3 linked regions of the Elephas maximus indicus genome follow. The protein of the gene in region 2 interacts with the protein of the main gene of each other region in a pairwise test. Links are inferred from orthologs where the notes say so. Each region holds a gene or a part of one and is shown on either strand. Other genes may lie near its edges.

Evidence for each region. The genes of interacting proteins can lie anywhere in the genome.
Region 1: the proteins of PRKAB2 (region 2) and TASOR2 interact in binary tests that used the Homo sapiens proteins (3 or more experiments, as listed by UniProt). The link is inferred for Elephas maximus indicus from reciprocal best matches to the Homo sapiens genes PRKAB2 and TASOR2.
Region 3: the proteins of PRKAB2 (region 2) and PIAS2 interact in binary tests that used the Homo sapiens proteins (3 or more experiments, as listed by UniProt). The link is inferred for Elephas maximus indicus from reciprocal best matches to the Homo sapiens genes PRKAB2 and PIAS2.

What each region holds. Positions count from the first base shown.
Region 1 is NC_064822.1:53,201,737-53,212,463, forward strand, and holds the start of TASOR2 (protein TASOR 2), read right to left. Parts: upstream 4,429-10,727; 5' UTR 3,783-4,428; coding exon 3,722-3,782; intron 1-3,721.
Region 2 is NC_064821.1:159,054,035-159,064,670, reverse strand, and holds the start of PRKAB2 (5'-AMP-activated protein kinase subunit beta-2), read right to left. Parts: upstream 4,189-10,636; 5' UTR 4,132-4,188; intron 3,735-4,131; 5' UTR 3,472-3,734; intron 3,168-3,471; exon of another isoform or gene 3,026-3,167; intron 2,741-3,025; 5' UTR 2,716-2,740; coding exon 2,560-2,715; intron 1-2,559. UniProt on the Homo sapiens protein: Non-catalytic subunit of AMP-activated protein kinase (AMPK), an energy sensor protein kinase that plays a key role in regulating cellular energy metabolism.
Region 3 is NC_064829.1:55,598,390-55,608,315, forward strand, and holds the start of PIAS2 (E3 SUMO-protein ligase PIAS2), read right to left. Parts: upstream 4,429-9,926; 5' UTR 4,254-4,428; coding exon 4,230-4,253; intron 3,786-4,229; exon of another isoform or gene 3,637-3,785; coding exon of another isoform or gene 3,634-3,636; intron 1-3,633. UniProt on the Homo sapiens protein: Functions as an E3-type small ubiquitin-like modifier (SUMO) ligase, stabilizing the interaction between UBE2I and the substrate, and as a SUMO-tethering factor.

The sequences.
Region 1 (10,727 bases), on a different chromosome or scaffold from region 2:
CATTAACATCACAGACAGCATTTACAAAATATAGAAAAGTCTCACAATACCGGGAATCATGACTCAGTCAAACTGATATATATATTTTGGGGGTGGACATAATTTAATCCATGACACCCCCTTACAAAGGTTTCAGGATTTGCTGGTTTTACTGTATTTGTACTTGAAGACCTGAACAAGAAGGTTACGAAAGCACTAATTGTAATAGCCTAAAATGGTTCCCAGAGTGGTCATGTTAATGTATATCATTTCTTAAAACTGTTATACAATGAAATATGTCACCAATCAAATCTGCATGATTCAGTGAACCAGTATTTTCCAAACGACCAACGTACGTGTGAAAGATTCCTTCAAAGTGCAAGACAGACCAATGGATCTTAATGTCACAGAGTACAAAAAGTCCACTGATATGGTTTGAAATTCTACACTGCAGCTAACCTTTGAGAAACTGTTAGGTTTTGATGAGTTATCAAAGAAGAATACCTATAGTTACCTGAAAAGGCTATTATAATATTCTTCCCTTTTCCAAGTATACAGCTGAGTAGGCAGGATTTTCTTCACATACTTCAACCAAAACAACATATTACAAAAGACTGAATGCAGAAACAGACATGAGCCACTGGTCTAAAATAGTAAAATTTGCAAAAATGTAAAACAATGCCACTCTCCTAAGTTTTTTTTGTTTGGGAAAAGAGTTAATTTTCATTGAAATGTTATCTATGTTAAGATGCAATAGGTTTGTTGTTATTATTTTTAAATGTACCGATATATATTTTTAGACGGCACTGGGTTTTTGGGTAATATATATTTTAAATATTTATCATTTTTAATATCTACTATGGTTTTAAAAGTGTAAAAGACTCCTGAGACCAAGAAGTTTCTGAATTACCGAATTACACGCTTCAACATGGCTTAATTTCAGAAACATAATGTTGATCAAAAGCAACCCACAAATACACGATATGATTCTAAATAAAGCTCAAAAACAGGCAAATGTAAACAATGTGTTGGTTAAAGTCACACATATAGCTGATAAAAGTATAAAGAAAAGCAAGACAATAATTAAGATAAAATCCAAGATGACCAAAGCAATAGCGGTGGGAAATGCTTTGTTTCAAGAGGCACACAAAGGGCTTCTAAAGAACTTGTGATGCTTGACTCGACAGCACTGGGTGACTGGGTTTTACTAAGTAGGATACACAGATTTTTTTTTTTTTTTTAAACTGGGCATCTCAATGGCATATTTCACAACAAAAATTCTAAGAGAAAAAACAGGTAGAGATACACCTATTCCCCAGAAAGAAAAACTCCAAAGGACCTCTCTTCTCAAATTAATCTGCAAATTCAATGCGATCACAAACTATACCCTAATGAAATTTTCTATAGACTGTTTTGTAAAAAGATGACTCTAAATTTCATCTGCAAGAGAAAATGGAAAAGGAAAACCCACAACTTTTTTAAAAACAAAGTACCAAAATATATTATAAAGCTACAATAATTAAAACAGTATGGTAATACCTAAATGAGTCAGAGAAGTATGTTCAGAACACAATAAAAAATGAGCAAAGGGTATGAAGCAGCAGAATGTTCAACTTTCTTATTAAGGATCATATAAAATTTAAATGAGATAGTCTTTTCAGTTACAAAATTGACAAAATATAAAAATACATATATTGTTAACATACAGTGCTGGCTAGCAGGGAGACAGAAACACACCTTTTTGAGAGAGTGAATATAAAACGGTACAATCATCTGAGGGAAATTCAAAAGCATATTATCCCACATTCTCATAAGAAATCAATTCTACAGAAATAGAAAATACAACCTTTCAAACACTGTCTTTTTCTTAAAATAATTGTGGACAAACATATTTTCACTTTTTATTTCTTCTCTGGCCTGTCTTAGCTTTGTTACAAACCTGGTGGGCAGGGTTACAGCCAGCCTCACATCCTGTAATATTAAATACCACGATCCTCCCCTTTTTCCATTTTAATCCTTCTGGAACACCATGGGCCCTCAGGTCACTAAATGGTAAACCACAATAACGTTATATACTTGGTACGATATTTTTCAAAAAGTTTATCATTCTAATTTTATCTTACAGGGAGAATTAAGAAGGGTAAGAAAAGCTTACCTAAATCTACAGATTACAAATAAAGTGGTGATTAAGAGAAATCTGAGGACTTTTAAAATATCTTCCTCAAATTATGAGGTTAACATGCCACGTTTTCCCACAAAATGCTGTTTAGTGCCACCTTCAGACAAAATGCTGAGTTGCACAGGCCAACATTATGACATTCCTTGTGCATTACCCAATTTTTTTGTTTAATAATCTTCCATGCAGATAGACCTCTTTCTTTTACATCTACTGAAAAAATAGGTCAAGCACTGCCCTGAAGTCTCTTCAGAAAGAAACCTGAGCACCAGACTTTCACAAAGACCCTGTAGGTGCAGAGTGTGATCAATATCACCGAAAAATACAAGTAGAAATTGAATTGGTGAAAGTTTTGCTGCGTATGCTCTAAAAAAAAAAGAAAGAAACCGTATAAAATTACTTTCTAGCGAGTCCAAACTAAGTGAGTAATATCTGCCAACTATTTAAAACATAGCCATAACACCCATGAGGATGAAGCTGTCCTCTGACGAGTAACTCAAAACAAATGCTTCAACTGTTCTACGCTTTTGCTCTCAAAACCGTGAAGAACGACGAACATTGAAGCCCTATAAACCGGTTGCCATCAAGTCGATTGCGACTCAAAGCGACCCTTCAGGACAGAGAAGGGCTGTGTCCCACGGGTTTCCAAAGCTATGATCTTTATGGAGAACCCTAGTGGCCCAACGGTTAAGAGCTTGGCTGCTAACCAAAAGGCTGGCAGTTCGAATCCATCTGCCACTCCTTGGAAACCCTGTGGGGCAGTTCTAGTCTGCCCTATAGGAGTGCCATAGGACCCCAACAGATTTGGTCTAGTTGCTTTTTTAATCTTTAGGAAAGCCCACTGCCACATCTTTCTGCAGCGGCTGGTGGATCTGAACTCCCGACCTCTCCGTTAGCAGCGGAGCGCTTTAACCACTGCACCACCAGGGTTCCTTGAAGCCCTATACGAACTAGTAAAATGGTGACTTCCTAGAAACAATTTAGATCTACGTTTGCAGCGCTGAGAATGCCGACAGGTTGCAAAAGACCGAGTTATTCAAAAAGGAGAGATGATTCCAGAAAAACAGCAACCCCTCTCACTCCAGCTCAGGGCTTCAACCGATTCCTTCCGGTTGGGCTGGCAGCTGAGAATCTGCCTTTCCACCCGATACACTGAATCACAATCTACATTTTAACAAGACACCCACGTAATTCTTATGCATGATAAATTGAGAACCACTGGACTTACCATACATAAAAATAATTTGGGGGATCTTGTTCAAAGATAGATTGTGATTCAGTACATCTGGGGTGGAAATGCAAATTCTTAGCAGGGGGTCCAAACAGAGCAGCTGGCTAGAAGCCCTGGGGCAAACATGCATCAACGCGTTCATCAGTCATCCAAGAAAAACATGCAAAACCAATCATAATTTTAAAAAGTGTAACAGCAAAGCCACCAACAGCAACTACAAAAGTCCCAAGCAGCTATATCATGCATTTAGCCTTAGAAGACTGGAGCTTTGCCTTCCTTCCAATCGTCTACACAGGCGCACAAAACAGCGCGCCCCAAAACCGATGAAGTTTTACCTGTACTTTGTGCTGCCGCCGCCCCTGAAGACTTCAGAGAATTGTTCGATTTCTTTCCCATGCTTTTAGATTTTGTCTGCTCCTTTCACACGTGCTTCCTTTCTCTCGGTCCCTCCTGGCCAAATGTGACACATATAACATATATTTTCGAATTATATATTTTTTTAAAGTGACGTCTTTCTTCCTCTTTGTAATAAAAACCTCCAGTAGCTTCTGTATATTCCCCTTCTCCTGAATTTCCAATAGGCGATCTCAACCCCAAGTTTTCAAAAGCTCTCCAAAATTCTACCTCAAAAGAACCCAAGCCTATTCACGTTGCAGCTCGCCTGCAATACAGCCAATCTTTTCTCTCTGTCGTTCTGCCAAGAACGCGGGGAGGAGATGACTACGAGTAAAAGCGGGGACGACTTAGGAGAGTGGGAAGCCCCGAGTCCCGGTTTCGGCGGCGGCGCCTGAGCCACTCTGTGTCGCTCTCGAATCGACGCCGCTCTAAGGTGCTCAAAGGACGGAGGAACGGTGGGTCAAGGACGAGACTCGAAGCCGTCAGGTCCCCCGCGCTTTTCAGCAAAGCCTCCAATTCTTCCCCGAAAAGGCCATAGAAAAGCAAGAACCCCGTGACGCTACACGGCCTGAGGTAACATGTCGACTTTCTTACACACGATCGCAAGCAACCGGAAGTAAAACCTCGCGGCCGAAGGAAAATGAGAAAAATAAAAGAGAAAGTGAAAACTGAACTATAACATCATCCTTAGAGGTAGGAACGAATCACAGAGCAGATACCGAAGCGCAGGCGCGGGTCGCGTTCGGCGTACACGCGGCACTTGCCTCTTCCCTCTGCGCAGGCGCGAGGGGCTAGCGGGGCCCAATGATTGGCTTTCCTGGCTGGCGCACCGCCAGATGCAGCAGGCGCGGGCGGGAAGACCCTGTACGCGTCCTGTGGAGTGCCTACGCGGGCTATCGGTGGCGCTGGTTTTTACCACAGACGTGGGTGTTGGCTCCTTTAAGGGTCTCCCAGCGCAACTGCCGCGACGCTTGTTTTTTTCCTTGCCAAAATGTGTTAATTCCCAAATATCATCCTTGTTTCAATTTAACAGGTGTTGAACACATGTAACATTTGTGGATGTGCTAGTTCCCTAGGAAAACGCCTCTAGAAGGTTATGATCTATACAGAGGGAACTAAGATGACCATAACCCAAACCAAACCAAACTTGTTGAGTTGGTTCCAACTCATAGGGACCCTACAGGACAGAGTAGAACAGCCCCATAGGGTTTCCAAGAAGCTGCTGGTAGATTGGAACAGTGGACCTTTTGGTTTAGCAGCTGCAGCTCGCTATAGCTCTTAACCACTGTACCACCAGAGCTCAAGATGACCATAAACCAAAACCAAAAACTAAACCCAGTGCCATCTAGTCAATTCCGACTCATAGCAACCATCTAGGACAGAGTAGAACTGCCTCATGGAGTTTCCAAGGAGTGCGTGGTGGACTTGAACTGCTAACCTTCGGTTGGCAGCTGTAGCACTTAGCCACTATGCCACCAGGGTTTCCAAAATGACCCTACCAAATCAAAACCAAACCCGGTGCTGTCCAGTCAACTCCGATTCATAGCAACCCTATAGGACAGAGTAGAACTGCCCCATAGAGTTTCCATTGAGCGGCTGGGGGATTGGAACTGCCGACCCTTTGGTTAGCAGCCCTAGCACTTAACCACTACACCACCAGGGTTTCCAAGATGACCATAAATAACATTAACTCAGCTCTCTCCTTATCTGTGATAAATACCAATGAGAAGTATAAAGTGCTACAGATACCCTGAGCCAGGCACTGTGCGGTGCAATGGAAATAGGAAGAGATTCATTCAGTTGAAGCCGTGTGCCAGGTTATTGTCTTAGGCACCAGGATTACATATGAGGACAAGATCGACAAGGTCCTTGCGTGTAAGGGAACTTACTCTAGAGCTGAAGGCCAAGCAGGTAAACAGCAACAAAATATAATTTCAGATAAGGATATGTTCTATGAAAACAAACTGGAAATGCTGGAGAATGGGGGCAGAAGCTGGAGGCCAGGGACAGAAGAGGCAGAGCTGAATAAGGTACATTTGAAGTCAAACAAAAAAAAAATTTTTTTTTGAAGTCAAACCTGAATGACACAAACTGCATCAACCTGTCCTTGGAAGATCTGGTCGCTATGAGTTGGAATCGACTTGGGCAGTGGGTTTGGTTTTGGAAGATCTGGAGGAAGAGCTTGACAAGTGGAAGGTAAAGGAAGTGCAAAGGCCCTGAGAAGTGAAGTTAAGCATGCTCAAGAACTGAAGAGGTCTGGCTGGAGAAGCAGGGAATAAACCATAAAATAAAAAAAGTGCACAAAATCAGAATGTACAGTTTATCACAAAGCAAACATTCATGAAAACACCACCTCAGTCAAGAAATAGAGCATGCTAGTATCCCAAAGTCTCCCCTTTTCTCTCAATCACTACCCCCTTCTCTACCACTAAAGATAACCGCTATTCTAACTTCCAAGATAATCTTTTTTATTTTTCTTTACAGAGTTGCCATTGAAGTATGCATCCCTAAACTTTCATAGTTTAATTTTGCTTGTGTTTTGAATTTTATATGAATTGCTTTGTGTCTGATTACTTTGGAGAAATACTATATGAGATTCATCATGTTTTGTGTGTTTTTTCATTTTCATTGCAATATAAGTAGGTGTGGATATAGCACATTTTCTTTTTATTTTTTTTTTATTGTGTTTTAGGTGAAAGTTTACAACTCACATTAGTTTCTTATACAAAAATTTATGCACACATTGTTATGTGACCCTAGTTGCTATTCCTATACTGTGACAGCACACTCTTTTCCACCTCAGATTTACCATGCCCATTCAACCAGCTCCTATCACTTTCTGCCATCTCATCTCACCTCCGTAGCACTTTTTTTTAATCCACCGTATGGTTCATGAACATCTGGATTGTTCCTAGTCTTGGCTATTAAGAATAATGCTGCTATTGAACCAGGTGGTCATGAGAAGGTCATTAACCATCCCATAATAGTTGTTTTTCAGAAAGCCTACTCTTGCTACATTTTTGCTACAGCACTTCAACCTGATTGGTCGAATCCCCAGGTCTCTTCTCTTTTCCTAGTGCGAGGCTGAGGCCCAGGCGTATTATGAATTTGCTGGCTATGTGACCTTCCAGAGGTGACAGTAGCAAGCAAATCACCATTTTAGGACCACACAACAAGAATTAGGCATCCGACACTTGCGGACTTCATGTGCATCTTCCTATCGCAAGACTGAAGATCCTCCCCTTGCTGTCCATGCATATGTATGTCACTCCCTATAAAAGGTGCAAATCTACCCTAGTTGGGGGAGCTGGCAGCCTTAGGTCACAAGACCCTGCCTGTCTCCCAGTTTGCAAACTGCGAATAAATCTTTCTGTCCTTCCAACTCTGCATCTGGCTGGCTTTAATTCTCTTGTCTGCTTGACAAGAACCTATTTATTAGTTGATGACTTCACTATGAATGTACTTACTTCTCTTCTGGTGCACATGTATACTCATTTTTGTTTGGTGTATACCTAGGAGTAGAAGGCAGGCACGCTGGGTATAATAGTTGGGGGTTTTATTTGAGTACATATTTATTCCTGCCCCCCTCTGTGGTGCAATCCTTTGAGTGGCTTTTTGCCTTGATTCTTTGGCAAAAGAGTTTGGGAGATTTTCCCCTAAACCCTCAGAAATTGTTATTTTTGCCCTAGTTCTTTGGAGAAACAGCCTGGGGGAAAGGAGTGCTACTCCCAGGTTGTTGATTACCCCAGAGGGTTTGTTACTTTTGTTCAGGGGATTCCCCAGGTTGATTGACACTTCCTGGGTAAGCTGTAAACAACTTAATGCTTTGAGACTTTTATCTGGTAATTAACAAGACCTGAGTTGATTGACATCTCATGGGTGACTGACCTTTGGTTGAATTCTGGTCTGGTGAGGGAGGCCCTGCCTTGTAACTAAGGGGGAGTGGGATATACGAACAGCTAAAATAGGTAAGTTTTAGCAGCCGCCCAGTTGAGAAAGAGATGTTGGGTAAGTGCTGGGCTGGTAGAGAAGCAGAACCACAGGGGAGCTAAATGATCCTGAAGCTGCTACATTGGCTGTGAGCTAAGCCAGTTAGTAGCAGAGAGGGCTGATGCAGGAGAGGCCTAATGTGAGAGAGCAGCTATGAGAGCTGAGCAAGCTGCTATACTGGCTGTGAGCTGGCCCAGTTAGCTGCCTAATGGCAGAGAGGAATAGTGGAGAGCTGCTGCTGGGACAGAGGCTGAAAGTAGAATCCCAAAGTGGGAGAAAGGAAAAGAGGAGGAAAAGGAGAAGGCAGCAGTGGGGGTGTTGGTAGAAGAGGAGAAGGGGGCTCTGAATTCCTCCACAGCTTTGCTCCCTCTGAGGAGTAAGGCCCATGATGAAGGCCCCATGGAGGCAGTGGAGGTGGAGCTGGAATTGCACACCCTGCAGAACAGGTAGGCTCTGTGGCTCTTTAAGAATGACTTCAGCCAGGTCTTGCATCTGGTCACCAAGTTTGACACTGTGGAGGACTTTTGGGAGACGTACAGTCACATCCAGCTGGCCAGTAAACTCTACTGGTTGCAACTACACTCTGTTCAAGGATGGCATCCATCCCATGTGGATTAAGCATCAGGATTAAGCAGGGTGGCCACTTGCTGGTCAGCCTCGCCAAGCACCAGCGCCACAGCGAGCTGGACCTTCTCTGGAGACACTGTTGTGTCTGATACGGGAGAGCTTTGAGGAACATAGAAGGAGGCATGTGGGGCTGTCGTCAACATTTGCACCAAAGGGCACAAGATTACTGTGTGGACACGGGAGGTGAAGAGCCAGGCCAGCGTGCTGCACGTTGGGCATAGCCACCAAGAGCACCAGGAACAAGTTTGCAGTGTATAGGGGTCTCGGGAACACTCACATTTCAATTTCACGACCAGAGCCTGTGTGTGTGTGTGTGTGTGTGTGTGTGTACATGATGGGGGGAGGGCAGCTTACACAGCTGCTCCTTGACATGACTTGGGGGGCAAACAGCTGGTTCTTCCTGTGTCCTGGAGTGAATATGAACACTTCTTAATATGATTGGGGGCTAGGCATGAGGCTAGCTCTGTGGGGGAGGGCCCAGCATTACCTGGAGCCAGAGCCGGGGGGAAGAGATTGAGGGAACTTCTGGGTTTCCTTTTTTCATCTGGGGGTAGGGTATTAGCTGGGCCAATTAGTGGTAGAGAAGTCAACAGCAGAGAGCCTGACAGTGGGGAGCCCAATGGCCAAAAGCCCAACAGCAGAGAGGCCTGCACAGCAGAGAGGGCAGCTACTGGCAGAGAAGCTGAGTTATGGCACATGCCTGGCAGAGAAGGCGGCTGCCTGGCAGAGAAGGCGGCTGCCTAGCAGAGAAGCTGCATCCACTGATCACAGGAGGAGGGCAATGGTGTTAGACAAGAACGGTGCTGGACAAGAACACGTTAAGTGTACCAGAATATGCGTAGTAAGAGTACCAGAAAGTGAGGAGAGAAGGGAGAAGAAAAATATTCTAAGAAATAATGGCTAAGAACTTCCTAAACTTACTGAAAAACAATAAATTACATATCGAGGAAACACAATGATCTCCAAGTAGGGTAACTGCAAAGAGATCTACAAACATACACATCATAGTAAAAATGCTGAAGTTAAAAAACAAGGAGAAAATCTTGAAAGCAGCAAGAGAAAAATGTCTGCGTCTTCTGTAAAGAAGTTTATCAATTTTATTGATCTTCTCAAAGAACCAGCTTTTGGTTTCACTGATTTTCTGTCTTCTGTCTCATTTATTTCTGTATTTCCCTTTATTTTCTTCCTTCTCTTTTTTTCTAATTAAGGTAGAAATTTAAAACATTGATATGAGAACTTCTTTTCTAATAAAAGCCTCAAATTTTATATATTATTCTTGAAATGCTGCTTTAGATACAGTCCACCAATTTTAATATGTTGTGTTTTATTTTCAGTCAGTTCAAAGCATGTGCTAATGTCCTTTCTGATTTTTTCTTTGACACCTGGATTATTTAAAATTATGTTGTTTACTTTTAAATACTTGAGTATTTTCTAGATAACACTCGTGTTGATTATTGATTCCATTTTGGTCAGAGAACATACTTTTTATTATTCTAATCCTTGTAAATTTGTTGGGAGTAGTTTTATGGCCCAGAATAAGGTCTATCTTAGTGAATGTGTGTACTGGAAAAGAATGTCCATTTTGCTGTTGTTCTCCTGAGTATTATATAAATGTTAATTAGGTTAAGTTGATTGATAAAGTTGTTCAATTCTTCTGTATCATTACTGGTTTTCTGTCTGTGTGTTCTATCAATTAGTAAGAGAAGTGCTGAAATCTCCAGCTAGGATTGTGGATTTGACTAATTCTCCTTTCTGCTGTATTAATTTTTACTACGTGTATTTTTAAATTCTGTTGCTAGGTGCATACAGATTTAAGGCTGGCGAATTGATTTGATGAATTGGTTATTATGAAATATCACTCTGTCTATGATAATATTTATTGTTCTGAAGTCTATCTGGTATACTGTAGCCCCTCCAGCTTTATTTTATTATTTGCATTGTCTATTTTCCCCATCATTTTAGTTTTAGCTTATCCATATCTTTACAGTTAAAGTGGGTTTCTTTTAGAGAGCATGTAGTCAGGTCTTGCTTTTTTTAACTTAATTTGGTAATTTCAGATTTTTAGTTGGAGTATTTAGACAATTTATCCTTAATGTAATTATCAATATGGTTAGGTTTAATTTATCATATTACTATTTGTTTTGTATTTTCCCCTTCTATTCTTTGATTCCTTTTTAATTTTTTTCTGTCTTTTTTTAATTGAATTTAGTGTTTTATTTAATGATACTATTATGTATCCACCATTAACTTATTGGAAACCCTGGTAGCGTTGCTATGAGTCAGAATCAACTTGATGGCAACGGGTTTGGTTTTTTTTTGGTTTCCATG
Region 2 (10,636 bases):
GTGTGGGCATCTCTTGTCTGGAGGGGAGATGAAAGGGTAGAGGGGGTCAGAAGCTTGCCAAATAGACACAAAAAGAGAGTGGAGGGTAGCAGGGTGCTGTCTCATTAGGGGGAGAGCAACTAGGAGTATATAGTAAGATGTACATACATTTTTGTATGAGAGACTGACTTGATTTGTAAAGTTTCACTTAAAGCACAATTAAAAAAGAAAAAAAAAAGCTTCCCAGGTAATAATAATGTGATTACATTAAAATAAACAAAGGAAAAAAACCCCTTACATTTAGAGAAAGATTCTGAAACATTTATAGGTAAAACAGTATCTGAAATCATGTCTGGAATTTGCTTCAAAATAACTGGTGGGGGAGTGTGGATTAAAATAAAGATGATATAAATTTATGCATGACTTAATGATTATTTAAACTGGGTGAAAGGTATACAAGGACTCATTATACTGTTCTCCCTACTCTGTAAATTTTCCATAAGATGTTTTTAAAAACATTATGTGATTCTAACGAGCTACGATTGAGAACCACTGAACTAGTCCACTAAAGAAGGCCGGCACCACTGCCACCTTCGCTATCAGTACTTTTATGTCTTAGGATTTCTAATTTAGAATTTGAAAGCTACAAACTATTAATATGCCTCACTTTGGAGTGAAGCTCTTCCACATATGACATTATGTGGTAGCTATGAGTGCAGCTGACAGAAAGATTGTCTCCTCCAAGTGAAATAGCAAAACCACCAGGAAAAGAGGCAAAACAACAATTAGAACTATAATTCAAAGGTGTTTAAGTAAAATGTTGACGGAAGAAGCGAAGAGGGTAGATTTAGAAGTATAAAATTTTACATTTGGAAGAGACCTTAAAATTATCAAAACCAATTCTCTCATTTCGTAGATAACAAGATCGAAGTGAGGGACTGAAGATCCAAAATAGGCCCCAATGCAGACTGAGCACTGGCTTTTATTCAGGACACTGATTGCTACAGGCACTGTTTGACAAATACTTAAATACTGAGTCATCCAAGTAGGAAAAGGGTAAAAATACAATAAGGAAAACCATCTTTGAGAAAGCTTTGATGAAGTAAATTCAGATGGCTGCTTAGACAGCCCAAGTGATGAAAGAGAAGTCCTGAAGTGGGAGAGGGAAGAAAAGAACAGAGACAAAACTCCTAGAAATGCTCAATTACCCTCACTTCTCCCTGGGGCAGTTCTACTCCATCCTATAGGGTCACTATAAGTCAGAACAGACACTACAGCAGTGGGTTTGGTTTTTTTTTTTTTGGACTTCTCCCTCTGTGATTATTTTCTCAATTGGGCTCCAGGGAAATACACAAACTATAGACTCCAAATTTCATGCTACCTATGTGGCAGATAATACTCTATTTACTGTCTAAAACTCCAGTTTTGTGGGAAATGATGAGGTAATAAGAAACACATCCCATTCTCTTCAATCCCTCCATTTTTCTATTTCAGCCCAGTCAGCCTATCTGGATGAACGTATTTAATGCGGAAAGCTCTAAAGTGATTGGAAACATTAGCATAGTAATCACAATGCTGTCATGCCCATCTGTCCTTTCTGTAGGATGAACACAAGTTGCTGCCTTGGAATTGAGAAGGAGGTCTCAGGGCAACTGTGGGTTGTCGTTTTTTTTAGCCATGGCAACATTCTGAGGTACTACTGGGAAGTGGAGAAATCCTGCAGTCCAGGAATCATTTGCTTTCCCATGAGAAGCAGCTGGGTATTAAGCAAGCGCAGCCTCAGCCAATAGCAACTGTGAAGTACAGGATGAAATTTATTAGTCGACCAAATGATGACTTTTATTGGTCCCCCAAATTAGGATTGTTCTTGTTGTTAGATTCAGTGGAGTCGACTTTGAGTGACCCCACGTGACAGAGCAGAACTGCCCCATACGGTTTTCCGGACCCTAATTTTTACGGGAGGAGATCGCCCCAGAGCGGCTGGGTAGATTCAAAGCGCCAGTCTTTTGGTGAGCAGTAGAGCTCTTAACCATTGTGCCACCTGGGCTCCTCGATTATTCAAATAAGCAATGGGTTCCTGCTAACAGCCACACCAGTGGGGGAAGAGGAACAGGTGTGCTAAGCTCCTATGGCAAAAATGATACAAACACATAGAAGTTTTCAAGAAAAAGAAAATATATTTACCTATTTCAGGACAAACTGATAAACTGTCACCTATGGTCAGCAATTCTGGCAACCTACCCTCTGAAGTTCTCCGTTAGGGCTTACATACAGTTCATAATTTAGCAATGGTCTAGAAGTGAGCAACCGTGCCTTTTAGAACCAAGGATTCTGTGGGGGCTTATTATCCCTCATCCTAAAAATGTGACTAAAAGATTAATCAGAAAGCCGTAAAAATAAGAGCTCTGTTTCTTCATCCTATTTTGAGGCAGCACCGCAAGAGAAATTACCATCAACACCCTGTGACCCTGAAAAACCCGTTTGATTCAAAACACCGTAACCCAAGTCAGTGTGATGAGAACGAACCAGGAAAGGGAGGAGGAGCCCGCGAACCAAGCCCACTGAAGCATTGCCACCAACCTTGGAGTCCTGCAGGCTGAAGACGCTGGGGTCATCGGTGCTCCCGACCATGATCTTGTGCTCCTTGCCCGAGGCATGGCTGCCGGCACCCTCGGCACGCGCAGCCTTGGTGCCGTGGCGCTCCCCGGACACCCGGTCGCTGGTGGTGTTTCCCATGTTTGCGGCTCGAGTCGGGAGCCACCTGCCGCGGGGAACGACATGGGGCGAGGGGACACCCCAGCTGCTGCGTCAGGAGCGACGCCGGTCCCGCCCCTGCGCCCTGGGACCCGAGCAGGGAATCCCCGCCCCAGGGAAGCCGTGCCCAGGGATCCCGTCCCTCTCTAGCTTCTAGGAAAAAAAAAAAAAAGAGCGCCCCTAAATCCCTAGGTCCCCTCACCGCCCCCCTCCTCAGGAAATCCGCTTTCGGGAACTGCCCCGCATCCCCGCGCTCACTGCCCTCATTGCAAACATCCCCCACCCCAATCACCTCCCGCGATGCGCTCCCTCCTCCCGGGACCGCTGGTGCAATGGCTGTTCTGCGGGATAAGGCCCCCAATAAAGTTATTGAAATTGAAGCCGCGCCTCGGGGTAGCGATCCGGATTTCCTCCTAAAATGGCTACAAGGCCAGTAGCACTGGGCACGCCCCACACACGTTCCCTGAGGCCGCGCCCCCGCGGCGCCCCGGGGCCGGCCGCCTCTCTAGCCGTCGCCGCCGCCTCAATGGTGGGCGGACGCGCGCGGCCTCCAGCGCCAGGCGGGGGCGCCCGACTCCCAGCCCTGCGATCACCGGCGCTTCGGGCTGGGGCCGCCGCACAGGACGAGGTGCTGCAACCGGGATTGCTGGTGAGACCGGTCGCTGGGCCTACCCTACGGAGAGGACGGCCCATGAACGATAGTCGGCGGCCACTTCCCTGACTTCCAGTGTTTGGTACCTGGAGGAGCAGTGCTGCTTTCCTCCCGTCCCGCTCACCCAGCCCAGGTTCGTCAGAACGTTTTCTGAGCTGCGTCCTGGTGAGAGGCGATCCCGAAGAGGTGGGCTCCTATAGGGAATTAGAAAACGGCTTCCTTTCCAATTCCAGCAGAAGGAGGTAGTGGTAATTGCGCGAGGTTTGAGCTGGGTGCTGTAGGATCGACGAGGAAGGAGCAGTGAGCCGATTGGGGCTCTAGGGAATATTTGAAGAAGTATGAGATAAACCTTGAGAAATAAAGAAAATATTAGTCTTAGGACAAGAAGAAGTGTTTGTATTGTAATTATATGCATTTCTCATTCCCTTCTAGAAACTTGCTACTCAACCTGTGTTCTACACACCAGCAGCATTGGCGTCGTCTAAGGCCCCCTCCTAGACCTGAGAATCAGAATCTGCATTTTAACAAGATTCCCAGGGGATATGTGTGCACATTAAAGTGTGAGAAGCACTGCTTTGACAACTCAGTAGGGCAGATCAGATTCAATTCCTCTTCACAGCCTTTCTGCGCCAGACCTTGTGCTGCTTTCTTCCCGTCCCTCTCACCCGGCCCCAGATTTTAATAATCTAAGTAAGCTTTTAATAAAGATTTGCAGAGTGAAGGGTACAGGGATACTGTTTACTTACCTTCCTAACAAGATAAGCCACTTAGGCTTAATCACAGCCAGTGATGGGCCACCCAAGTCCACCTTTTCTGAGTGAGCAGCTGTTTGTGGAAAAGTTTGTTTTTATATCAAGTTGAACATCTGCTTGACTCCAACAAATCCTCTCCTCCCCCATCTTTTCTTGCTGTGCCCCTTCTAAACTCAGCCATTCTCTGGCCCTTAACCAAAGAATTTGCAGGAAAAAAAAAAAAGGTACAATTTTACTGCAGCCTCTTGCTCACTGCTAAATTTTGACTAACTCCTATTTGTTTACCCCTACCCTTTCCCGCAAGGAGCCCTGGTAATGTAGTGGTTAATAGCTCTCCTGCTAACCCAAAGTTTGACGGTTTGAACCCACCCAGCGGCTCCAAGGGAGAAGGACCTGGTGATCTGCCCCTGTAAAGATTACAACCTAGAAAACTGTATGGGGTAGTCCTACTGTCACATGGGGCCACTGTGAGTTGAAAATCGACTGATGACACCCAACAACATCCCCTTCCTTAGTTTCTTTCATCCCTTCCAGTAGGATTCTGAAACAAGGCCCTTGACTTGTGCACTATTCTGTTCTCTAACCCCTGGGTGGTTTCTGCTTGCTAAATAATATGTTCTTGATATGTATTGCCTTATAATAGTATTAGTCTACAGAAAATTTATTTAAGAGAAAGAAACTGTTTTTGTAAATTATTCTACTATATTTCAAAGCCGAATTTGAACAGTGAGTAAGCCTTCCTCCTGAGATGTCCTAAAGTCTAAAAATTTGGACTGTAATCACTGAGCTAACATTGTAATTGTTAATTCTGATTCTGTGGTTCTGAATGAATGTTCTGAGGTCTTATTTACATGTCTTGCCATGACTAAATGAGTTTATGCATGACGCACCTGAGTGTGCCTCTATTAATTCCTAAGATAAACCCTGCATAACAACTCCCAGTAAAAGCTCTGGACATGGAAACTCCATGGGCTTCCTGGTCGATGAAAGACATCGATACACTTGGGAGGGTAGCGCATCCCTTTTTGGGACACAAAAGCTTGGTGTTGGCACCCCTCCTAGACCTAGCCTATGCATCTCTTCATTTGTGTGCTTTTTTCCTGTAATAAAACTATGATCATATGTATAGTGCTTTTTGTGAGTTCTATGAGTTTTTCCATAGAAGTGTTATACCCAAGGGAATAGTGGGAGCCAGTGGATCAGAAGTGAGGGGGCTGGGGACCCCAAAGCTTGCAGCTGGCATCTACAAGGGGTGGTGGGAAAACCCTGAATTTGTAACCAGCAGGTCAGAAGTGAAGGGGGCCCTAGGGACTTCCAAGATTGTGGCTGGAATCTGTGATCTTGGGCCAGCTTAGTCTGGAGGACTGTGCCCTTTAATCTGTGAGCTCTGACCTAGCTCTGGATGGTTAGAGCCAGAGGAAGGAGTGCTGCATGCGCAGCTGGTGTCAGAACAGAAGGGGCAGAAAAGTGAACAGTGGGGATTTTGATTTATGTTGATTATTCTCCTCCTAGTCTTAAAATGTGAGTCAGTAAACAAAATGTGGTATAGCCATACAATAAAATACTACTCAGATAAAATACCACTCAGCAATAAAGAAACAAACTCCTGATATGCACAGAAACGTGGATGAATCTCGAATGCACTATGCTAAGTGGAAGAAGCCAGATTTCATTTATATGACATTCTGGAAAAGCCAAAAACAGGGTCAGAAAACAGATGAATGGCTGCCAGGAGTCAGAAGTGGGAAGAGTGGTTGACCACAAAGGGGCATGAAGGAATTGGGAGGGGAATTACGGAACAGTTCTATATCTTGATTGTGATAGTGGTGTATACGTTTGTCAAAACTCACAGGACTGTACACTGAAAAGGGTGAAATTTACTGTATGAAAATCATGCCTCAATAAAAAATATAACCGTCTGTCCACTTTAGTACTGTTATCTGCCTTTCATATTCCAAAGAACTTGCGTATGAATTATATTACGAGATCTTCAAAACCTGTGAAGGAAGGCAGAAGAGATGATTATATCCTCATTTTTAAAATGAAGTTCGGGTTAAATATTAGTGTTTCTTGAAATAACATGTATAGTCCATTTATTTCAAGCCTAGTACTTGCTGGGACTGTGCTAAGCATAGACTGCTTAAGTAAGCCCCTGCTCTGGTGGAGCTCACTGTCTTGAAATAATTAAAAAAACCAATTTGACCCCAAATAGGTATGATCTATGGACACTTAGAACTAAACATTCACTGAGAATGTCCTTCAAAATACATTATTGGAAGAATTTGTGTCTCAATTAGTGTCTTGGTCAACATGCATCATTTTTGTTAGGTGCCTTCGAGTACGTTCTGACTCACAGCAACCCCATGTACAACAGAACGAAACGCTGCCTCATCCCGCTCCATCCTCACAATCATTGCTGCGTTTGAGCCCACTGTTGCAGCCACTGGGTCAGTCCAGCACAGGAATCCCGGTCCAAAGGATGCACTCTGCTCCTGGCACTGCTTTCTTGGTGGTATGAGGTCCCCACTCTGCCTGCTTTTGCTTTCCTTTTATCTCATGTGAGGCAAAAGGTGGTACAGGGCACATACCAGGGAAAGTCCCTTTACATTGAATCAGGGGTGTGACCTTAGTAAGGATGTTACCATTCCACCCTAATCCTCTTTAACAAAATTACAATCATGAAATGGAGGACAACCACACTTTACTGGGAATCATGGCCTGACCAAGTAGATGCATATTTTGGGGGGACACAATTCAATCCATGACACACCCCAACATGGAATTATATTCTCCAAGACCTTTTTTGCTACAAAAGTGGCAGTTGCTTCTCTGCAAGGAAGAGCTACTCAGTGAGAGAGCATGCAAATCATTATTAAAACAAATTGATAACCCTGAGAAGGGGGCAACTGGATGAAATCCATTTGCCATACTAACATGGGCCCTCAGGGTTGTGGAAAATGACCAAAGGAGTATTTCAGTGTTTTCCAGGAGTGAATAAAGGACTTGTGGGGCAAGCCTTGTGAATATCTGTAGTGGCTTTCTGAAATTTACCCCACTAATAATTTTAATAATTTTGCATAATTTGTATCATTTTATCTATAGCATAATGACTAGCTTCATGTAATAGATGAAGCATTGGATACTGTAAGGATGAGGGAAGGACAATTCTCTTATTTGGTTCAACTCATTACACAGATATTGGGTCTACTGTGCATCTTTCCTTTGTCTATAAAGCTTTTTCTCAAGTTCTGCATTTTCTTGTTCAGTTATTAAATCATCCTTTGAAAATAGAGAAATTTCATTAAGTTGTGGTCCAATTATTTCTGTCAGTATAACTTTATTTGCGCAAATTTAGGTAGCTGTCTTTTTGCCATATGATCTGTGAAATGGTTTCCTTTCATTTCCACAGAAGTAAGCTCTTTTTGGTGGGCTTGTGTTTTAATAATAGGTAGGCTTTTAGGTAATAATAATACATCTAATGGTTCTTTAATGAGCTGGCTATTTTTAATTTCAGTCCCAGACGATGTTAAAAGTCCTCTTTGTTCCTATAACAGTCCAATATTGTGTACAACTTTAATCTCATATTGACAGTCCAAAGTAACATTGGCTACTAGGCCTTCAGCTAACACACAAGCTTGGGTCAGAGCATATAGCTCTGCTTGCTGGGTTGAGGTGGCTTTAGGGAGAGGTTCCTTTTCTATTACGTCAGTAGGGGAGACTATTGGATAGCCAGCCTGAAATTTGGAGGAGTTTGGGGATGGTTTAAGATATGACTGATCTACAAACAAAATAAGATCAGGATTCTCTAAAATACATTCTTGTAAATCAAGCCTGGGAGTTAATAACTATTCAGTAAGATTTCGGCAGTCATGCATCAGCTCAGATGAGTCCATGATAGGCCAATAAAGTGGCTGGATTTAGGGCTTTGACATGCCAAATGTGAATGTGAGGAGAGGAAAGTAGAATAGCTTTATAGAAAGCCATATAACTGGTGGATATGTGCTGGGTTACCCCAGAATTTAACGTAGCATTGACTCCATGGGGAACAAAAACGTTAAGAGTATTTCCCATTGCTATATCAGTAGTATTTTCTTTTAATTTTGCAAGGGCTATGGTAGCTCACAAACATGGGGGATAGGCATGAGCCATTGGATCTAGTTCTAAACTATAATCCTCTGAAGGTCTTTGCTGACTGTTAACGTTTTTCTGTTAGCACAAAGGCAGTCCCTTCTCTCTCATGAATGAACAGCAAGAAATCTAAATTGTAATTGGGATATTCTAAAGCCAGGGCAGAGTGCAGAGCACATTTTAAATTATCAATAGCTTTATCCTCATCTGAACCTAAAATCAGGACACCAGGTGCATTTCCGTTTAATAATTCATACAAGGGTCAAGCTATCAATGAGAAGTTTGTATCTATATCCAACAATAGTCACATAACCCTAAAAATCCTCTCAACTGCCTCTTGGTTTCAGGAGGTGGGAAGTTAAGGATTCCTGCTTCCTGGCTAGAGTTTAATGTGGCACCTTTGACAAAAAGAAGGTGACCTAAATATTTAACTTGAGTAGAGGCCAGCTGACGTTTTTCTTTCTTTCTTTTTTTTTTTTAATTGTACTTTAGTTGAAGGTTTACAGAACAAACTGTTTTCTTATCAGACAGGACACACGTTGTTCTATGACACTGGTTAACAACCCCACAACATGTCAACCCTGGGTTCACTATTACCAGCTTTCCAGTTCTCTCCTGCCTTCCAGTCCCTGCCCCAGGGCTAGTGCACCCCTTTAGTCTTGTTTTGTTCCATGGGCCTGTTCAATCTTTCGCTGAAGGGTGAACCTCAGCAGTGACCTCATTACTGAGCTGAAAGGGTGTCTGGGGGTCATACTCTCAAGGTTTCTCCAATCTCTGTCAGGCCAGCAAGACTGGTCTTTCTTTTTGAGTTAGAATTTTGTTCTACATTTTTCTCCAGTTCTGTCTGGGACCCTCTATCGTGATTCCTGTCAGAGCAGTCAGTGGTGGTAGCTGGGAACCATCTCGTTGTACTGGACTCAGTCTGATGGAGGCTGTGGTAGATGTGGTCCATTAGTCCTTTGGACTAATCTTTCCTTTGTATCTTTAGTTTTCTTCATTCTTCCCTGCTCCCGAAGGGGCAAGACCAGTGGAGTATCCTAGATGGCCACTCACAGGCTTTTAAGACCCCAGATGCTACTCACCAAAGTAGAATGTAGAACATTTTCTTTATAAACTCTTATGCCAATTGAGCTAGGTGTTCCCTGAGGCCATGGTCCCCACAGCCCTCAGCCCCACAATTTGGTCCCTCAGGGAATTTGGATGTGTCTGTGGAGCTACCACAACCTCGCCTTATACAGGTTGTGCTGGCTTCACCAGTATTGTGTACTGTCTTATCCTTCACCAAAGTTACCACTTCCTCTCTATTAGAAAATTCTATAATACCTACACCATTTATTCCCTCTTTTATTGTTCTGATGTTGTTGTCATTTACATATTAACCTTTCCGGTTCCCTGTTGCAATTCTTTTGGTTTTGGATAGTCTTCGAGAGTTCACTTCCTGCGTTGGTATCTGGCTGGTACAATCTTGCATCCTAGATTCAGGTTGTGGTCTGATGTTGCTTGTTCTCAGACAGAAGGACTCCCTTTAATACTTCTTGTAAGTTTGGTTTGGTTTTTACATATTCCCTTAATTTCTGTTTACCTGGAAATGTACTAATTTCACCATCATATTTGAATGAAAGTTTTACAGGCTATATTATTATTGTTTGGCAATTTTTTTCTGTCAAGGTTTTATATATGTCATCCTATTGCCTTCTTGCCTGCATGGTTTCTGCCAAACAATCAGAGCTTAGTCTTATTGTTTCTCCTCTGTATGTGAATTCTTGTTTTTCTCAAGCTGCTCTCAGGATTTTTTTCTCTGTCTTTGGTTTTAGCGAGTGTGATTATGATATACCTTGGTGTTTTTCTTTTGGGGTCTATCCTATATGGGGTTCGTTGAGCTTCTTGGATAGTAAGCTTTTCATCTTTCGTGATATTAGGGAAATTTCTGTCAGCAATTCTTTAATGATCCTCTTTGTGTTTTCCATTTTCTCTCCCTATTCTGGAACACCAATCACTTGCAAGATTTTGCTTTTGATTGCATACTGTATAATTCTCAGGGTTTCTTCATTTTTCTTTGTTCTTTTTTTCCTTAAACAGAATTGTATCCAAGCGTTTGTCTTCAATTTCGCTGATCCTGTGTTTCATCATTTCAGACCTGCTCCTCAGACCTTCTATGACACTGTCCATTTCTGAAATCCTGTTTTTATCTTATAGATTTCTAATTGTTCTTTTTGTATGATTTCTAGTTGTGAATTTATTTTTAGATTTCTAATTGTTCTTTTTGTATGATTTCTAGTTGTGAATTTATTTTGGCATTTTGTTCCTGGACTATTTTCCTGAATTCTTCCATTTTTTTTTTGTCTGTATTTTCCATGAATATGTCTGCGTT
Region 3 (9,926 bases), on a different chromosome or scaffold from region 2:
CAACTCATAGGAACCCTACAGAACAGAGCAGAACTGCCTCATAGGGTTTCCAAGGAGTGGATGGTGGATTAGAACTGCTGACCTTTCGGTTAGCCACTGAGCTCTTAACCACTGCACCACCAGGGCTCCACCCATTGTAGTTCAGTGTCTTAATTCAGTTACAGTAGTTCCCACTGTCAAAACTGACTTACATAAAACAGCAATCACAGTAGTCTTCAAGGACACTAGAGCTCTCTTTATAAATTTGTTTCTCACGATTGTGATAAAACATGTGTCCTCAGGGTACTCCATGTGTGGGTCTGTGGATCCAACCTGATAAATTCACTCTAAAACCAAACTGTTACTGTCGAGTAGATTCCAACTCATAGTGACGCTACTGGCATTCTAACATGCCAATTTCCCTAAGTCTTTGGATACCTTCTTCTACAATAAACTCAGGCAGGTCTGGCATTTCAACTTGATTTAGTATAGGTCACCGCTTAATCCATGCTTTAGTGAACCAACCAAATAAGCTATTAGATCTTTTTCTAACTTCTCGAGCAAAAACAGTGAATGAAGAATCTGTGCTTAGTGATCACATATCAATAAACTCAGACTGGTCCAACTTTATGCTTTTTGCACCATTATCCCATGCCCTTAATAGCCATTCCCACACATACTCCCCAGGTTCCTGTTTGTATATATCAGAAAAATCAAGCAGTTCTTTTGGAGTGTAGCATATTTCCTCAGGGGTCATACTTTGTACTTCACTTCTTGGGGCTCACTGGGACTTGAGTCTAGTTATAGGTCTAGAAGCAAAAATGCTGGCAGGGGTGGTTTGGGGAACATTCAGCAATGTTTTGTAAGGCATCTGTCTTAGGCAACGCCGCCGGCAGTATCTCAACAGCTCTTCAGACACAGCTGGGTTAACTCAACAGATGGGGGTGGAAGGGATAATGGTTTAACTAAGGAAGGGAGCTTAGCAAACAAAGATGGCGGAATCTCTTCAGATGGGAGTAAGAGGGCTAGTTCTGTTGGCAGGAGTGATTTAATGGAATTTAGGGGCTCAATGTCCCCAGCTTCCTGATTATCTACCAATGTGCCCCATCCCACTTTTTGGGATCCCATTTCTTCCCAGTCAGTGTCCTCACTTTAATTTCAGACATCATTCAAGGTTACAAATTCAACTGGCATTGTAATTCAGACACTCTTAAGACTCTGGGTTTGGCTTTTGGCAGCATCAGCTCTGTTACTACAAGAAAGGTGATTTCTTTCAGGGCTCAAGTGGGAACTTTCAGGTCTTTTATATGGCACTTATTTTTTTTTAAGCTGTGACTCTGAAGCCCTGAGCTCAACTCGTTCTTTCACCACTTTGTCCAGCAAAACCACGACCGACCAACCAGCTTATACTTCTCATTTGGATGAAACCGTAGAAAAATATCAAATATGCGATCACCCAGAACCTTATCTCTCACAAATACTTTACCATGGGTGATGTTATTTTGTGTATTTCTATGGCCACCTCATGCCATGGATTAACAGTGTCCTCTTTACTACTAGAGACAGTCATCAGCACCTTTAAGGCTAGCCAGGCTTGAGAAACAATTCAGAAAACTCATCCTCCTTATGAATTTCCCCTCTAGAACCACTCTCAGTACCAAACGTTTTTCTCCAGAGAAGAAAAACCAATGAAGCACGCATATATATATATATATATATATATATATATATATAAATTTATCTCAAGAAAACGGCTCACGCAGTTGTAGAAGTTGACAAGTCCCAAACCCATGGGTCAAGCATCAGACTAAAGGCTTCTCCTGACTCACGTGGTTGCGGTAGCCAACAAACCCAAAATTGGAAGGTCAGGCGGAAGGCTGCTGGCTCACATGGCTGCGGGAGCTAAGGAATCCCAAGATCTGCAGATCGGGCAGCAAGTTGCTGGCTCACGTCCCAAGAACAGAAGTCAGAGGATGACCGATAGGATACAGGATCCAAGAGAGAGTTTTGCCAGAACATTCATATATACATACTGGCTGCAGGCTGCGCCCCTAAGGAAACTGATTGGCTTTCGACTGAATGGTCTTTCAACAAACTGGCTGTTCACATCATATCGCAAAATGGAGAATAATTACATAATACCTGCCAAACCACTGGGAATCATGGCCTAGCCAAGTTGACACATAACCTTAACCATCACAGCTGCTAAAGTGGCTAAGGCAAAGATGAACATGGATAACTTTTCAAGCATCTGCCCAGCCCATATCCTCCCCTCCTCTGAGAACTCTCCCTGGTTAGTCTCTGTCGGTCACCTGAAGTCAACTGTAAGGGAAGGGCCATCTTCTATCAAGTGCAGGGAGAAGCAAAGACAGCTGATCCACACAACAAAATGGAGAGAAAGAAAGAGGGAGAAAAGTTTCTTTGGTTTCTGACCACTTTCCAGTTCCTGGTTCCACTCCAATGTAAGCACCGTTTCTGCCCTGTACTGGTAAATAAATCCTCTGCTTTTTTGTTAAGCTTCAACAACATTTATAAAAGTCTAACACAAGTTCTGGAAAAGTTCTCATCAATAAAAATAATAGGAAGAGAAAAATTTGCAAATATTTGTCACTACACAAAAATTACTACCGCAGGTGAGAATAATTTCAAAATGCAGTCTTCTAAACCTAATACATGGATTTACAGAAGTGAAGCTCAAGCATGGTTTTTTCAAAAGCTCTACAGGTGTTAAAACCTCCAACCTGAGGTTCATCAGCCACTAAAACCCTTACTTGAACTTGGCAATATGAACATCCTTTTCTTATCATGGTCCTCTATATAAACTAGTCCAAAAACCAAAACCAGCGCCGTCGAGTGGATTACAACTCACAGCGACCCTACAGGACAGAGCAGAACTGCCCCATAGAGTTTCCAAGGAGCCCCTGGCGGATCTGAACTGCCAACCCTTTGGTTAGCAGCCGTCGCACTTAACCACTACACCATCATAAAATGCATGAACATGGCTTTTCTACTGCATTCTAATTCCTTTTGGGGGGGGCGGGCGGTGGGGGACAAATGGCAGGCATTATGTAAACTACAACAATCTCCTTTCGACCAAAACCAAGAATATGTTCTTCTGTAAGTTACTAGCCAGGTAACAAATGACTTTCCTCCACCAGATCCCTCACCGAAAAGTAACATACAAAACTGACTCTTTTAACAGATTCTTCTTCCTTCTTATTCCAAAAAAGTAACCCTAACATCATAGTCTATGTTACGCAAACTGGCTGCAGTTAACTTAAAGTTGACATTCATTCCTATTTTGAAATATATATTTTTAAGTATCAGGGTTCCCGTCCTTACATATTCTATTTACATAAACCCGGACATAAAAAAAAACATAGCGACCATAAAAAATAAATCCGGCTCATTTGTCACACTTAGTTTTCTTTCAGTTAAGGACTCTGAAGGTTATCAGTCTGAAGGAAAAAAAAAAAAATTCTGCTAACCTCCATTATACTCCATTACAAATGTCTACTATACAAAGATAACTATCAAGTTATGACCTTGCTCTAAGGCTAGGAAAAAAATTTTTTTTTCCTCAAGAGCAAAGCAAATTCACTGACAAAAAAAAAAAAAAAACTCATGACAACACAGACTTTCTAGATTTCTTACCATGGTACCAAGAAAATATCGATTACTGAAGGCAAGGCTCCCAAAAGATCACGCTTCCAATATGTGGAGGAAACACTGGTTGGAGGAAGGGGCCTTTTCTTGTGACAGACCTGACTACACGGTATCATCAGCCACAGAGAGGAGAGAAACATTCTCGAGCGCAACTTCACCTTTCAGAAAATAGTCTTCCTCCAAGTAAGTGGCATGTAGACTTCTCAATCGCCATAGACACGTACACCCCTTGCGAAGGTGGAAAATAAAACGCTGTTTTTTACCTCAGACCTTAAACGGGGAAGTCGGGTCCCACGTGCCCCTCCCCAGGGCGGCCCCTACCCCCGCGCCAGGTGCCTGGATTCGCCAACAGGACCCAGAGGCGGGCTCGCCCTCGGCCCCAGGCCCACAGCACCCGCAAGGCCCAGGCGTCCTCCGCCGACTCGCTCCCCTCCCCCGCCCACTTGGGCGCCGGCTCGGACGCGCGCCGGGAGTCGGGGTCGGCCAACCGGTCCCGGCAACGAGAAGGTGGCAGCAGACGACGTTGCGGCTTCCCCGCCTCCCCTCCCCCCGGCCTCTGCGCTCCACTCCTGGCCCCTGCTTACCCTCAACTCTTCGAAATCCGCCATTTTATACCAGCCGCGGACGCTGCCGCTACTGCTACCACAGCACCCCCTCCCACTGCCGCCAACAACGCCGCCGCCACCAGGGCCGCCGCCGCCGCTTCCAGCACCATCCTGCACTGGGCGCCGCTAAAGACGCCGCGGCCACAGCCGCCGCCGTCGCCGCCGACGCCGCCGGGACCCTCACGTGACTGGCACGGGAGCTCCGCCCCCGGCGCGCCGCTGCCCCGCCCCCGGTCTCCCCTGCCCAGCCCGGCCACCGCCTTCCGCCCGCGCCTTCTCCCACGCTCTTGCGCGCGGCTCTCTTCGCGTTAGATCCCTCTCTCTCCTGCGACCCGCACGTCTTCTTGCGTCTGGTTCTGTCGCCTTGCCTTCCTCAGCCCTCGTTGTCACTTCCCTCCACATCGCGACGCCGGTCCCGACTCCGTGAAACGCAGCAGCGACTGCAGCCTTACCGGCAGGCTTAAGGAGGATCTGGCCCGGGGAAGTGGCAGAGAGGAAGAGATGGACGGGACTTGTGACAGGAGCAGTTCGGCAGAATTCTTATGGTGTCCTTCCACGCAGTGGCTGTGGACCGAGGAAGCAGCTGCAATAAAAGCATTCCTCAGAGTAGTCGTGGCGGAACAATCTGAATATGGGTGTTGGGTAAGCTATTGTTGTATCTAACGGTACAGGATTGGGGAGATCTCTTTAAACTGCTAACATCCTCAAGTAGGAACCTGGCCCAGCCTTTGAAGGGCGAGGGAATGTCATGGACTGCACAATTGAGACTCTGGGGGGTGAGGGGAGAGTGGAAGTGAAATAAGAGAGCGCTCAGAAGGGCCCTGATAAAAAGTTGAGGGGTCAGGGAAATCAGATAGCTAGGGAAGAACTAATGCCATGGCAGAGGAGCTGGAAGGAAGCTTGATGGCACCCCTAACATGCTGATGAAAGGATGAGAGACAAAGAGGATGCTGAGTCAAGCTGGTATCCGAAAATTCTCTGAACTGAGCCCAGAGTTCAAATTTTCTTGAAGATGTGGGTGGAACCCATCCAAGGAAGGCCTTGAAAACTTAGTGGAACTTACAAAGAGCCGTGTTGAATCTGTCTCCTGTCTAGCTACTTCCCACTCCCCCTCACTCCAGAAACACTGCCCATGTTTCAGTTCCTCCACCAGACTTTTTTTCCCTATGTTTTAACCTGTGAATGCAAATCCCTGGGCCAAGAATAATTTCCCACTTTCATCCTCTTTTCGAACTTCTGTAAATCTTTCAGGTCTCAGTTGAAGTGTCACTTCTTCAGAAAGACCTTCCCTAGCCCCATTTTAATTCATATCCCTCTCATGACCTCTCATAGTACCCTGAACTTTTCCTTGATAGCATTTATCCACGGTAAGTATAGGGTACAGTCAATTCTTGTTATTTGTGGTAGCGGCGTTCTATAAAATCTTTGGGAACACTGAACCATTGCTCCAGGGAAATACAGGGTTAGGTTCCTGCAAGCCTCTGGTCACATTTTCGTCAATCTGTCAATACATAACCTTGTTTTATGTGTGTTTTCTGTTTAAAAAACACCTTATTTAGTATATATCGTTGATTCATTAACACTGAACTCATGGCCAAGAGCATTATAACTTAAGCCTGAATGAAGCTCATTGACCACACGTATTTTCTCTGTAAGGCACATCAAGGCCTTCTTGCACTTAGGAACACTAGATAGCACATAAGCACTAGGCTTGGAGGCTATTTTAAACAACAATATAACCAGCCAAAAGCACAAAAATGAGAAAAATGTAGCACTAAATAGACAGCTAAAAGGACACTTGTTTACTGTATGAGAGCTAAAACAATAAGGCACAGAGTCATCTTGTTCAGTCTCAGCTAGGAATGTGCACATCTGGTGGCTCAAGTTTTTGGCCACTTTGTACACGTTTACAGATAACCAGGAAAGCACCATATTGATGTTGGGGTTACAAATAAATTTTAGCAAATAAAATCTGCAAATAATGAAAGTCAGCTGTATTCCAGTGATTATTATGTAAATAGTAAAAATAACTGCTTAAAAAATTTTATTCTAAAAAAATTTTTGAACCCCCTGGAATGTAGTGGAAACCCTGGTGGTGTAGTGCTCAAGAGCTATGAGTGCTAACCAAAAGGCTGGCAGTTTGAATCCACCAGGCACTCCTTGGAAATCCTATGGGGCAGTTCTGCTCTGTCGTTTAGGGTCACTATGAGTTAGAATTGACTCAACAGCAACGGGTTTTTGTTTTTTAGACTGGAGTGCCTAATAAATAGTAGGCCTTGTATTTGTTTAATGAATAAAGGAGTGAATGAACCATGTGTACTACCTATACTGTCTAGAGTAAATTCTCCACCACTAATTCTGTGATCTTGCCTTATTCTTGATTTTAGCTTGTTGTTATTATGCCTTGGTTTACACCTCAGTATAATTTATGTTGTTCAGTAGACATTAAATGAAGGCCACTGTGGGCTAGAGGCTGATAGAATAGACAGATGAATAAAACACACAAAAGCACTGCCACCAAAGAGCTTATAACCCATAAGAGAGACCAACTGAAATATGAATAAAACTGTAAGAGAAGCAAGGCCACACCGAGACTTGTTTGTAGTATACATTGTAATCACTTCCTCAGTGTCCATTCTGTCCCTCCCCCACTGTATAGCAGCTACTGGCTAGCTTGGGTAGGTTTGACAGCAAAGAATTCTAGATGCTACCCCAGATTGTCCTAAGCCAATAAGAACTATTATGTCCTTATCACAGTGATAAGATCAGAGCTAGACAGATGAGACCGATTAGTGCAGAGCATTCCAGGCCTTGCCAAGGAGATCAAATGTGGGCCCATACCCTAAGATAACATGGGTTATTTATTCACTAATTAGAGATGCAGAAATATACTTTCTGGTATATGAAACGCTATACCCATTTTCCTACAATGAGGGGCCAACTTGAAGACCAACCCTTCTCATGAGCAGGTGTCTTAGGCTGAAGTTTCTAAAGTAGTAAAACTGTGTGTGTGTATATATATGTAAATATATACACACAAAGATATGTGTGTACATATATGTAAATATATACACAAAAAGATATGTGTGTATATATATGTATATATATAAAGACATATTTATTTCAAGGAAATGGCTCGCTAAGTTTTGGAGGCTGGCAAGTCCCAAAACTGTGAATCAGGCATCAGGCTGGAGGCTTCTTCTGTCTCACATGGTTGCCTGGGCTGATGAACTCAAGATCTGCAGGTCAGACAGCAGACGACTGGCTCACATCCCGAGAATTGGAGGTCAGAGGATGAGGAGTCAGATGCAGGATCGAGAGAGGAAGAGCTTTGCCAGAACATCTATATGCATTGGATGCAGGCAACACCTCCTAGGAAAAACTCCTTTCAATTGATTGGTTGCTCACAACAGATCACATCATGGATAGTGACTACATTATATCTGCCAAACCACTGAGAATCATGGCCTAACCAAGCTGACACATAACCTTAATCATCAAAGCAAGTTTCACCAAAAAAAAGAAAAAAGTATAGAATTAACATTGACACCCACCTTACCTCTATTTTTCAGGTTTCTTTAGCCACTATCATCCCTTTATTGTAAATAGTTTGAGATGGGTCTTCTATTATTTGCAGCCAAACGAATTCTGAAATATGGTGCTACTTTGTCTCTCTAGGCCGCATTACTAATTAAGCCCCTTTTCTAGACTGTGCTCCCTAATAGTTACTCAGTATTTGTTTAAAGGAGATGCTGAGTGGTTGTTGTTGTTAGAGGCCGTCAAGATGGCTCCAGTTCATAGTGATCTAATGGATAACAGAACAAACTGTTGCCTACTCCAGCTCCATCTTTATGATCATTGCTATGGCTGAGTGGTAATGGGTAAAATTGCTTACTGTCCTGAGCAGTTCAGCTCTGACCTAGATTTCTGTAGCCTACTCATCAAAAAGAAATCCCTGTACTCACTTAGATCAGTTTCCTTAGAACGTAGCATAACAAAATGTTCATTAAAAATATAGAAATTAAACACATAACATAGTAAATGAACATGCCCAGTTATCTCCCAAGCTCATATTCCTCAGGCTGGTTTCCTCATTCATCACAGCTGTCATGGATTGAACTGTATCCCCCCAAAATATATGTCAAGTTGGCTAGGCCATGATTCTCAGTATTGTGTGATTGTCCATTTTGTGATGTGATATAATTATCCTCCATTTTGTGATGTGTTGTAAATCCTATCCTCTATATACCACCATGTGTCTGTCATTTTGTTGTACAGTGGTGCTTGCGTGTTGCTGTGATACTGGAAACTTTGCCACTGGTATTTCAATTACCACCAGGGTCACCCTTGGTGAACAGGTTTCAGCAGAGCTTACAGACTCAGACTAAGAAGAAGGACCTAGTGGTCTACTTCTGAAAAAATTGGCCAGTGAAAACCTTATGAGTAGCAGTAGAACATTGTCTGGTATAGTGCCAGAAGATGAGCTCTTCAGGTTGGAAGGCACTCAAAGTATGACTGGGGAAGAGCTGCCTCCTCAAAGTAGAGTTGACCTTGATGACATGGATGGAGTCAAGCTCTCAGGACCTTCATTTGCTGACATGGCACAACTCAAAATGAGAAGAAACAGCCAAAAACATCCATTAATAATCAGAACATGTAAAATACGAAGTATTAATCTAGGAAAATTGGAAGTTGTCAAAAATTATATGGACTGCATAAAGATCAATATCCTAGGCATTACTGAGCTGAAATGGACTGGTATTGGCCCATCTGAATCAAGACAATCATGGCTTACTGTGCCAAGAATAACAAATTGAAGAGGAGTGGTGTCACATTCATCATCAAAAAGAACATTTCAAGATCTATCCTGAAGTACAAGGCTGTCAGTGATGGCATAATGTCCAAATGCCTACAAAGAAGACCAGTTAATATGACTATTCAAATTTATGCACAAACCAGTAAGGTCAAAGATGAAGAAATTAAAGATTTTTACCAACTTCAACAGTCTGAAATTGATCACACATGCAGTCAAAATGCTTTGATAATTACTGGCAATTGGAAAGAGAAAATTGGAGACAAAGAAGAAGGATTGGTGTTTGGAAAATACCACCTTGGTGATAGAAATGATGGCAGAGATCACATGATAGAATTTTTGAAGACCAATGACTTCTTCATTCCAAATACCTTTTTTCAACAGTATGAACGACAGCTATACATGTACACCTTGCCAGATGGAATACACAGGAATCAAATTGACTACATCTGTGGAAAGAGATGATGGAAAAACTCAATATCATCAGTCAGAACAATGCCAGGGCCGACTGTGGGACAGACCATCAGTTGCTCATATGCAAGTTCAAGTTCATGTTGAAGAAAATTAAAACAATCCTTGACAGCCAAAAAAGGCCTTGAGTATTTCCCACTTGAATTTAGAGACCACCTCAAGAATAGATTTGATGCATTGAACACTAGTGACTGAAGACCAGACAAGTTGTGGATGACATCAAGGACATCGTATGTGAAGAAAGCAAGAGGTCATTAAAACACCAGGAAAAAAAAGAAAAAACCAAAATAGATGTCAAAAGAGCCCCTGAAACTTGCTCTTGAACATAGAGTAGCTAAAGCGAATGGAAGAAATGATGAAGTAAAAGGGCTGAACAGAATATTTCAAAGGAC